2 linked regions of the Ovis aries genome follow. The protein of the gene in region 1 purifies or fractionates together with the protein of each later gene. This does not show direct contact. Links are inferred from orthologs where the notes say so. Each region holds a gene or a part of one and is shown on either strand. Other genes may lie near its edges.

Evidence for each region. Proteins that work in one complex are often made in the same cells at the same time.
Region 2: the proteins of CCNT1 (region 1) and LARP7 purify together in Homo sapiens (affinity purification with mass spectrometry; 10 studies listed by BioGRID and IntAct, with this or other methods). This does not show direct contact. The link is inferred for Ovis aries from reciprocal best matches to the Homo sapiens genes CCNT1 and LARP7.

The regions. Positions count from the first base shown.
Region 1 is NC_056056.1:137,456,454-137,462,422, reverse strand, and holds the start of CCNT1 (cyclin-T1), read right to left. Parts: upstream 3,586-5,969; 5' UTR 3,531-3,585; coding exon 3,370-3,530; intron 1-3,369. UniProt on the Homo sapiens protein: Regulatory subunit of the cyclin-dependent kinase pair (CDK9/cyclin-T1) complex, also called positive transcription elongation factor B (P-TEFb), which facilitates the transition from abortive to productive elongation by phosphorylating the CTD (C-terminal domain) of the large subunit of RNA polymerase II (RNA Pol II).
Region 2 is NC_056059.1:13,386,914-13,392,717, reverse strand, and holds the start of LARP7 (la-related protein 7), read left to right. Parts: upstream 1-1,834; 5' UTR 1,835-1,990; intron 1,991-5,804. UniProt on the Homo sapiens protein: RNA-binding protein that specifically binds distinct small nuclear RNA (snRNAs) and regulates their processing and function.

The DNA of each region.
Region 1 (5,969 bases):
AGATGCTCTTAAATGAAAATCATACTTACCTCTTTGCTGTGCGGAGAAAGGGAATTCTCTACCCTATTGGTGGGACTGTAAACTGATGCTGCTACTATGAAAAACAGTATGGAGGTTCCTCAAAAAAACTAAAAACAGAGTTGCCATATGATCGAGCAATCCCACTCCTAGGCATATATTCATAGAAAATTCTTCTAATTCAAAAAGATACATGCACTCTAATGTTCACAGCAGCACTATTTACAAAAGCCAAGGTATGAAAACAACCTAAACGTCCAAGGACAGATGAATGGATAAAGAACATGTGGTGCATATACGAAATGGAGTATTACTCAGCCATCAACAACTATATATAATATATACAGATAAGCAAACAGGTAACAGCATAGGGAACTATACTCAATATCCTGTAAAAAACCATAATGGAAAAGGACATTTATATATACGTATAACTAAATCACTTTGCTGTACACCAGAAACTAACACAATGTTGGAAATCAATAATTATAATTCTTCAGTTTTAAACAAAGATATCATACTTGCCTCTCAGAATTAAAAAGCAAATCTGTTTTCATCAAACTATTGACACTTAACACAATGCCTTCTATGAAACAGGTATCACTATAAACTTGCTGAATTAATAAACAAGGTCTCAATATGTGTGGGTTGAGGACTACAAACAAAACTACCTAAGACCTGTCACCTGTCTACTGAAAATCCTGCCAAGGTGATCCATTAGCACAGAATCTCTCTTCACACTGATTCACAACACCCTTCCCTGATCTGTCCTCTAGGTATGCTTCTGCTTATCTCATCTTCTCAAGCCCTCCCCGATCTGCCCCCTAGGCTGCTGCTCAGTTGTGTCGCCAGGCTTCCCTGTCTTTTACCATCTCCCAGAGCTTGCTCACACTCATGTCCACTGAGTCAGTGATGCCATCCACCCATCTCATCCTCTGTCGTCCCCTTCTCCTCCTGCCTTCAATCTTTCCCAGCATCACGGTCTTTTCAAATGAGTCAGTTCTTCACATCAGGTGGCCAAAGTATTGGAGTTTCAGCTTCAGCACCAGTCCTTTTAATGAACATTCAGGACTGATTTCCTCCTAGGAATGTTTCCACTAATCTCATCTTCTAAGCTCCAGCAATTAACTTTTCAGTTCTACTTCCCTCTGGCAACCAAACCTTCTCATAAGGTGATCCCTGGGACCAGAAACACTTTGGTATTTAATGAATTATTTGATATTCATTGAAAAGAAAAATTCCGACTTTAATTTTTAACACACTTTTTAAAGATTATGCTCCATTTCCAATTTCTACAGTTATATTCCTCTTGTTGTAAAATATAAAATACATCCTTGTAGTCTACCTCACACCCAGTAGTTTGTACCTCGCACTCCCACCCTTACATTGCCCCCTCACCGCTCCCCACTGCTAACCATTAGTTTGTTCTCTAGCTCTGAGTCTACCTTTTGTTTCCACCAGTTGTATTCCTTAGGTTCCACATGTAAATAATATACATTTGTCTTTTTCTTTCTGACTGTTTCACTGAGTATGATAACCTCTAGGTCCATCCACATTGCTGTAAACGGCATTACTTCATACTTTTTTATAGCTAAATAGTATTCCATTGTCTATATATACCACCTATTCTTTATTCATTCATCTGTCCATGAACATTCAGTTTGCTACCATATCGTGGCAACTATAAGCAATGCTCCTATGAACAAACTGAGTGCTCATATCTTTCCAAATGAGTGTCTTTGTTTTATATACCTAGGTGTGGAATTGCTGGGTCATATAGTAATTCAATTTTTAGCTTTTTGAGAAACCTCTATTTGGTTTTCCACAATGACTGCACCAATATACACTACCACCAACACTGTCCAAGGGTTCTCTTGAAAAGGGAAATTTCTGAATGCCTTACTTAAAAAGACCTCAGAAAACAATGTGGGATATACACAGATGGGGGCTTCCCAGGTGGCCCTAGTGGTAAAGAAACCACCTGTTTACTACTGCAGAAGACGCAATAGACACAGGAACAACCCCTGGGTCAGGAAAATTCTCCGCCTCCACCCTCCCCGTAAGAAATAGCACCCCTCTCCAGTATTGGCAACCCACTCCAGTACTCTTGCCTGGAAAATCCCATGGACGGAGGAGCCTCGTAGGCTGCAGTCCACGGGGTCGCACAGACTCGGACACGACTGAAGCGACTTAGCAGCCAGTATTCTAGCCTGGAAATTTTTATGGGCAGAGGAGCCTGCCAGGCTACAGTCTATGGGGCCGCAAAGAGTGGAACACGACTGAGCACACAGAGATGAGACAGTACCACAGTAATACACACACAAGGAAACTACTAGGATGCACTAAAACAGATTTTAAAAAATTTTAACTCAGTACGGACTGGATGCTTAGGAAACACACTGAATATGGGCACCAAAGACACCTTTTTTCAAGTGAGGACAACCTTAAGAAAGAAACATACAGCCAGCAACACATTTAAATGGTAGTTGCGCCCAAAAACAAATTTTTTACTTCCTAAGTGGAAAGAACTTCAAAACTCTACAGCTTTGTCTGCTACAAAATGAGTAGGTTTTCTGACCAAAACACTTAAAGGGGAAAAAAACCCCACTAAATCTTTTAAATATGAGAAAAACGAATACACATTAGCACTTTGAGTAACTTAAAACCCCAGTATTTTATAAAAGATTTTTCAGAACATTAGATCTGTAAGTCTACTTGCCTACAAACTAAACTGACATCGTTCCTTCCTCTGAAATACTGTAAAACTCTTAACAGTAACTACTTTTTGAACATATAAGTGCCCAATATTGTGCTAGGCATAGAAATCAAATTCAAGAGGTATCATCCCATTTTATAAACCAGTCTCCAACAAGCAGTAAGTGGAAGGAACGGATTTTAAGCCAAAGCTAGGGTATTAATTCTAAGCCACCCTTTTAATAAGACCCTCAGGTACTGAAATTTCTCAAAACTCTCTGTACACAGTAAGTTTAAGGCAGCCATCAACAGTGAAACCTCCACTAGACACTTTGGGCATAACAGAAAAGCAGAATCTCAAAGTCACCAGAACAGGAGATCACAACACACCGAAATGGGACTACTACTACTTTAAAATACAAAGCGGGAAGGAAACTCATTCCCACTAAGGCTGGTGGCACCGGTGAGCGAGCGGGAAATTAACTCCGCCTCGCTTCCCTCTCGCGAACACTTAAGTTTTGCCCATCGTAGGCTCTCCTAACTAGACACCCAGTCCCTGCCCACCCTCCTCCCTTCTTGTCTAACAGACCTTGAAGACTGGAAGCAGAGCAGGGCGGGACCGACTTCAAGGCCGAAAGGCCTAGGCCGCAAGGATACACGTTAAGACGTTGGCCCATGTCCTGGAGCAGATTGGCCGCCTGCTGGCGATTAGAAAGTTCTTTATCTGGATCTAAGCCAAAACGACGAGACGGGCTATTTTCCAGTTGTTCTCGAGTAAAATACCACCGTTTATTGTTGTTCTTCCTCTCTCCCTCCATAGTGCTTCAACCAGAAGGCAGCGGCGGCGGCTGCAAGCACTTCTCGGCGTCACCTAAGCGGCGACACACATCCGCTGTGCGGGGGCAACTGCGACGTGACGAACTTCCGCAAAGGCCGGACGGCTAGGTTGTGACACGCTTCCGGGGAGGAAGTAAAGGATCTACTTCCGGAATGGACCCCTGGTCAGCCTGCAGCCGAGTTAACAGCCAGTAGGCGATCAGAAAAACCTTGGTTCTAGGACGCAGGCGCCAGTCATGTGACCCTGGAAAGGCAAGGTGGGGTTAGGAGTTCTCGTTAAAAAAAAAAAAAGTCTCCTCTCGCGAGAACTATTTTGAGCCTTCGCGCCCTGACCGAGGGGGCGAGGCAAAGGCTGTGGGTGGGTGAGGCTCCCGCCCTCGCGCCGCGTGGCGGTTTCTCGGAGAATTTCGCTTGTGACGGAGGTGGCTGTACAAAATGAGGCAGATAGAGAACTTGACAGAGAAAATGGGTAAGAGTATCAAAAACTGAAAAAAGTAATCAAAGCGAGTAGCCCTATCGTATATCGTAACATAAAGCCACCGGAAGCTCTTGAATTCGTTGGTAGCAGTATAAATTACCCACTTGAAAAGCTTCAACGCGTAGCTAAATCCTCGAAGACACTAATGATTCGCCACGCTGAACCAATTTAAAGGAATAAAATAAATTAATAATTTCATTTTATTAATAATTTAGTGCTTACCACATCGCTGACTCTTATTCAATCGGAACAACCCGGAAAAGTGGTACTATCTTAACCCCATTGTATGACCGGATGAACTAAAACTGCTCCTTCCGTGTGGAAAACTTCCACTACCATCCTGCGCATGCAGATTTTTAAATTCCTGTCCACTGTCAAGCTATATCCCCGCTCCAAGCTTGAGGGCTGTTTGTTCCTAGGCAAGATACTTAACTTCCCTGTACCTGTTATAAATGGTATGCTGCTGCTGCTAAGTCGCTTCAGTCGTGTCCGACTCTGTGCGACCCCATAGACCGCAGCCCACCAGGCTCCGCCGTCCCTGGGATTCTCCAGGCAAGAACACTGGAGTGGGTTGCCATTTCCTTCTCCAATGCATGAGTGAAAAGTGAAAGTGAAGTCGCTCAGTCGTGTCCGACTCTTTGTGACCCCATGCACTGCAGCCTACCAGGCTCCTCCATCCATGGAATTTTCCAGGCAAGAGTACTGGAGTGGAGTGCCATTGCCTTCTCCTAAATGGTATGCAGTACATACGATTTAGGTTCTGAAAAGGATTAAGTGATTTGATAAGTTACAAACAGTTGTAGTAGTACTGGGCACATAGAAAACATTCAGTAGGTTTCCTCATAATATTTATTACATTATGTGAAGTTGAGGGTAGGAACAATACCATCTATGCTTTTATATCCTTAGCACCTACCTACTGTAGTCCTGGCCCTAGTAAATGAATGTTTGTCAAACAAATGGTCACTACAACCTATAATAAAGAAACTGAGGCTTGGGAGATTAGGTAATTTGCCCTACACTATACTACTTGTAAATGTAGATTTTAAAATCAAATATAATTTCATTGTTCTTGCTTTCCTGGAACAGTCAATTCACCTTGATTATATTTGAGTAATATTAGAACCTTTTGTCTTTTATAAAAAATATTTTGAGTTTTGTCATTTCTAGACATGGCGTTTCCCACTCAGTTTGATTCTAATTCATTCTCAGAAGTATTTTCTTTTACTGCAAGCCTTCCTCTGCCATATACTGCCTATAGTTAGCATTAAGTGAAAGAGGAGAGTGAAAAAGTTGGCTCAACATTCAGAAAATGAAGATCATGGCATCTGGTCCCATCACTTCATGGGAAATAGATGGGGAAACAGTGGAAACAGTGTCAGACTTTATTTCTCTGGGCTCCAAAATCACTGCAGCTGGTGATTGCAGCCATGAAATTAAAAGATGCTTACTCCTTGGAAAAAAAGTTATGACCAACCTAGATAGCATATTCAAAAGCAGAGACATTACTTTGCCAACAAAGGTCCATCTAGTCAAGGCTATGGTTTTTCCTGTGGTCATGTATGGATGTGAGAGTTGGACTGTGAAGAAAGCTGAGCATCGAAGAATTGATGCTGTTGAACTGTGGTGTTGGAGAAGACTCTTGAGAGTCCCTTGGACTGCAAGGAGATCCAACCAGTCCATTCTAAAGGAGATCAGTCCTGGATGTTCTTTGGAAGGAATGATGCTAAAGCTGAAACTCCAGTACTTTGGGCACCTCATCCGAAGAGTTGACTCATTGAAAAAGACTCTGATGCTGGGAGGGATTGGGGCAGGAGGAAAAGGGGATGACAGAGGATGAGATGGCTGGATGGCATCACTGACTCGATGGACATGAGTTTGAGTGAACTCCAGGAGTTGGTGATGGACAGGGAGGCCTGGTGTGCTGCAATTCATGGGATCG
Region 2 (5,804 bases), on another chromosome or scaffold:
TAAGTTGTTCGGACTTTTTAAAAAGACAGTAGGAGGCCAAGGCAGAATTTCAAGAATACGTTAACATAATCTGACTTGGGTTTTACCAAGATTGCTCTGGCTGCTAAATGGAGAAAGGGCAGGGCAAACGGTACACAAATGAGAAATGAATGCTTGTCCCATGATATAGTTCACAGCACAGGGCCAGACCTACAGAGGCACTGCCTTTCAGAAATATAACTCCATATCCTAATCCCTCCCCTCCAGCTAACAGGATTGACAGATGCCTAGTGAATGCCAAGAAGATAACAGAGGTCCAAAGAAACACATAGTTGACTGCTGGTTGAACAGCAACTTGCTTCTAGCCACTGAATGGGTTAGACATCAAATATATGTAGATAAGACTACATAGTGTCAACACAATGCTTGGCATGTAGCAGTTAACATTAGATCCCTTTAATAACAGTTATTATTTATTCAGTGTAAATTATATGCTAGAACACTGTTAAAATGCTTTAAATTTTACACCTTATAGTACAGATACTACTTTTTATATTCATTTTACAAAAACAGGAAGTGAGGTACATCAGTATGTAATTTGCCTAAGCTCATGAAGTAAATAAATGGCAGATTCAGAATTTAAAACTAAGTAGTCTAAATTCTGGTGTTCCCATTCACAAAAACTACATTATGTGACTATGGAAAACCTACTGTAACAGGCAAGAATGGGACTGGATTCTTTACATATAATATTTATCAGTCTCATAGTCCTAAAAGTTGTTATTACCATCACAATTTACAGGTTAGAAATCCAGTATTTACTTCTTTAGGATTACTTATATGCTGTTTACCAACTGCAAAATAAATTCCCCCATTGTTTTCCTAAATTAGAAATATTACTTGAGGGATTTGCGATGTAAAAGGTATTGAGACGGTCCTAACTCTTGTTAAGTGGTAGATTAAAGAATTACACTTCAAAAAAAAGGGAGAGATTAAATGTTTTGCGATAATTTAGTACAGAAATACATACATATCTTCACACACATTATTGTGCTGTTTTTTAGATTTATGTATAAAATTCGGTGTTATCACTAAAATATGACCTGTTCTTGCTAAGTACGATGAGATGTTTTTGGTCCTTTTCTTTTGGAACAAGCAGGATCTTTCGAATCCCTAAGTGGTTCACAGATTTAAAAATTTAAGAATCACGAGCCCAATAGCCTTTTAAGAAACGGTCCAGTCCAGACAACCAAAAGATGCTCACATTTCATTTGCCAACGTTCTAATTATCACTAGCTTGTGTAACCAGATGACAATGAAGAAGGGACCCTTTGTCAGTCCTAAAAATAAACAGCAAAACCATCCCGGGTTCTCACACGGATACCGGAACTGCCCAGCAGGAGTTGGGGGAAGGTGGTAAAGACGAAGCACTAATTATTTACAGGTTGCTGCGCCAAGCCGTGAACCAACCTTATCTCCACACAGTTTCGTTACCGAACCCCGTCTGGCGGAGCAAACTCCTTCGCCCGTCGCATCAAAATCAGTGACAGCACCTCGAGCTCAAAACTCCAGCCTATCTACCCTCAATCCCCAGAAACTCCCGAGTGGAAACAGCTCTTTTAACTTGCTCATTGCACAAAACCCACTTTCGAACTTCTCCCGCGAAAAGCCGTGACATCATCAACTCGCGACCGCACCAGATCCAACCCCACTATTTAGCCCGCCCACCACGGCTCCGGACCTGAATGGCCGTTTTCAAACTGCCAATCAAGTTCCTCTTTGGCTGCTAGCCTCTGTGGCGACTGCGTTCTCCGATGTCCCGCCCCCACGCTGAGCGGGCCTACGCCAGTGACGTAAATGTCGGTCGCACAACCTCTGGGCCCATCTTTTCCAAGGCGTTCGGAAGAATTGTCGCTCATGTGACGCTAAAATAACCACGACTATAAGGTTCGGGGGACGCGAAGGACTGAAGAACGCAGTCTCTGGCGCTGTATTTTGGGAATTGGACAGAGTAAGTTCTAAGTGGACTCTAGGGAAGCCCAGGTTGGGTGAGATCTAAATTACTCTCAGTCTTTTTCTATGCCGGTCCTTTCTGTCATCTCTGGTCCTTCTCATCCCGCCCCCTCCCACCAACCCATCAGTTAGATTGCCCTAGTGTCCTGGTTCTCTGTGCGCACGCGCAAGAGTCCTCCGGCAGCCCTTGCAGTTCCAGTTTTCTAGTGATTGGGGGCGCTTGCCGCCCGGTTTTGGGAGGTTTGGGGTAGTCCCGCGTCTGACGGCTTCCTTGAGGAAGGACGGGTACCTAAAGGGGCAGTAGTCAAAAGGGGAATTGCTTTTCTTCGCAGATTCGAGTTTTGGTGGCCAAACGATAGCGAATGTGGACTTGTATTTTTAAATTAAGTCATTTCCTTTTTCAGAACTTTTGTCTCTGTCATTCAGAGAGCTGAACATCCAGTTATGGAAGGAAGAAAAAATACAGTGTATTATTGAGTGCGTTAATAGACATACTTAAAAGGGAAACAGATGAGGCGGTTGTTTAGGGGAAATGTGCTAGCAGAAAGCTAGAAAGAGTAAGATGCCGTTTAACCTGGGCCTTGAAAATTGAATAGGACTTGATAAGACAAGGAAGACAAGAAGCTTTTAAAGCAGAGGCACAGAGACAAGAAAGTAGGCAACGCTGGATAGTCAGATGTGACTAGAACTATAGTTCTCTTAACCTTTTTGACACACCATTTCCTTTTAAAACGTGATTTAAAAGATATGGATGAGCCTCCCAGGAAAATACATATACATCTCTAAATATTTTCTATAACCTTTTAAAGAAAAATTGTGAAAGACGTTGAAATAGCCAAAAAAAAAGAGGTGTCTAGCTTACTTTTCCAGCTTACCTCTGCTTTTCATTGTCATTGAGCTATGTTACAATTATGTAAGTTATAATTGAAATAAGTCTTAAGAGTTATTGCCCTGATTAGTGTTACATCTGTTAACAAGTTCATTTCAATATTTTTGCTTGCTTGTATTTGCGCTTGTCTAGTTTTTGAGTTCACCTTTGAACTGGTTTTTAGCACTTAACTAGTTCCCTGGTTAATTACTTAAATAAAATGATTGACGAGTTCATTTTATAAACGTAGAAAAGTCATGGTTTCACCTTTAAAATTTACCTTTGAAAATTTCGTGGGATTTACAATAATTTTTGAAATCCATCCCAAATTCCATGGATTTCAGGTTAAGAATTTCTGAGCCAGGAGAGATGGACTTGTGGACACAGCCGGGGTGGGGAGGGAGAGAGTGAATGAATGGAGAAGGTAGCATCAACAGATACACACTACCGTGTGTAAAATGGATAGCTGGTGAGAAGTTGCTGTATGACACAGGGAGCCCAGTCTGGTGCTCTGTGATGACCTAGAGGAGTGGGATGGAGAAAGGGGAGGGAGGCTCAAGAGTGAGGGTATATATGTATATTTATGACTGATGGTGGCGCTACTGTTAAAAAAATCTTGCCTCCCATTGCAGGCGATGTAAGATGCAATGTTAGATCCCTGAGTCAGGAAGATCCCCTGGAGGAGGGCATGGCAACCCACTCCAGTATTCTTGCCTGGAGAATTCCTTGGACAGAGAGGAGCCTGGATGGCTGCAGTCCATGGGATCACAAAGACTCAGACACTGCTGAAGCGACTTAGCACGAACACACAGATGGCTGATTCGCGTTGTTGTACAGCAGAAACCAACACAACATTGTAAAAAAAAAAAAAATTTAACAATTTAAAAAAAGGATTTCTGAGTCAAAACGTAGACTACATGGTAAGAGGTTGCAAGAGGTTCTACTAAAACTTAGGCAGTGTGAAAGTTAAACATACCTGAGCTTACTTACCTAGCTAGCTTTAGCCAGGTCACTTAACCTTTGAGCCTTTGTAAAAAGTTAAGAGAAATAACCTAGAGGGATTATGAGGATTTAAAACAAGGTGTGTAAAGTAACTGGTGTTACACAGTAACTTTTATTCTTTGTTTAAACCCTATGAAACTAGTTGATTCATTTAACAATTTTTTAAAAATATATGCTGTGTTACCAAAAGATGCTAAAGAATTATTATTGTTGAAAGTTTTAGCATTAGAGTCACAAAATTAGACCTGTGTTTAGACAAGTTACACAGCTTCTGTGAAGGATGGAGGACTTCTCAAACAATTTATAAACAATTTCCGTATTATTATAACAGTAGTTGTGGAAAACACTGGATGAAGATAAGAGCCATTCCAAAGGTTACATTGATAGGGATTAATGACAGATTGGTAAATGATAAAATGATAATAAATAACAGTTAGATATTGTTGACTGTGTGCTGTATAGCAGCAATGGAAAGTGCTTTATCCATTTTGGTTAATTTTTAAAACAACCCTAGTATGTCAGTATAAATTTTATTCCACTTTGTAGATCGTAGAAAGTTGAGTTAACTTGCCCCAAATCCATACAGCTAGTAAATAGCTCGACTGGTTAACTAAGTAGAATATGTCATCCTTAAAGAAAATGAGGGTGGTGAGAACAGCAGAACAGACATTGCTAAGAAAGATAAGAACTTTGATTTGGAATGTATGGAATGACAGTATACCTATTTGTTATCATAGGACATTGAAAAAGTAAACTATGACTATCATGTAACTTCCTGATCTTCTGCAACCAATGTGTAGCAAAGAGAACTTGTACCATAGCTTAATTCCTGTTTAATCTAATCCATATCTGTACTCGAAAATGAAGGTATATTTGATTCTCCACAGATTTTTAAGATTGAAAGTTGCAGAGTGTTATTCACATGGGGCAAGATTTTCTGAACTTAATTCTCCAGGCCGCAAAATATATATATATATATATTTATATATGGGAAAGGAAGGAGAGTATCAGGGCTGAGAAGAGAATGCTGGGAAAAGTCTGATTTCTGGGAGATTTGTGGCTTTCTGTGTTTATGCAGTTTTGTCCACTATCTCCTTAGATGGTGGCTTTGACGATGAAAACAAATGGAGAAGTAGTGTGTGTGTGAAGTCGCTCAGTGTTGTCCAACTCTTTGCAACCCCATGGACTGTAGCTTATCAGGGTCCTCCCTCCATGGGATTCTCCAGGCAAGAGTGCTGGAGTGGGTTGCCATTTCCTTCTCCAGGGGATCTTGCCGACCCAGGGATCGAACCCGGGTCTCCTGCATTCCAGGCAGATGCTTTAACCTCTGAGCCACCAGGAGAAGTGGTAATCTGCCCTTTATAGATTTTTCAGATGAAAGAGTTAGTAGTGAATTCTGTAGTGACGATCATAGCCTACATTTGTATTTTGTTTATAATTCTACCCCCTTACAAAATAACTTGAAATGCTCAATACTTGACAATTTATTAGATGCTGTTAGTTATATTACTTAACTAGACAATAAATGCCAAGGTTGTGATCAAGCTGAAGTCTCTGCCTTCTTAGTGTTTATATTATAATGAAGCAGGCAATAAAATTATAATTCCAGGCAGGAATAAGAGCATATAAGTATAGAAAGTGGTGAGTGAGGGAGGGTAGGGTTATGGTTGGCAGGGAAGGGATATTTTAGATTTGGTGAAAGAGAAAGCCTCTTTGAGAAAGTGACATTTGCAGAGGCCTGGGTGAACAAGGAAGTAATCCCTGCAGATGTGACAGGAAACCTGGGAAACAGCAGGAGCAAAAGCCGTGGAATGGGAATGCATTAGACTGTTCAAGGAACAGAACGATGGTGTGTTGAGGTTGTAATGAGCACCCTGAAAGAAGTTGCAAGTGACGAAGTTAGAGCGAAATCCCCAGGCCAGATGTAATAGGACCTATAGGC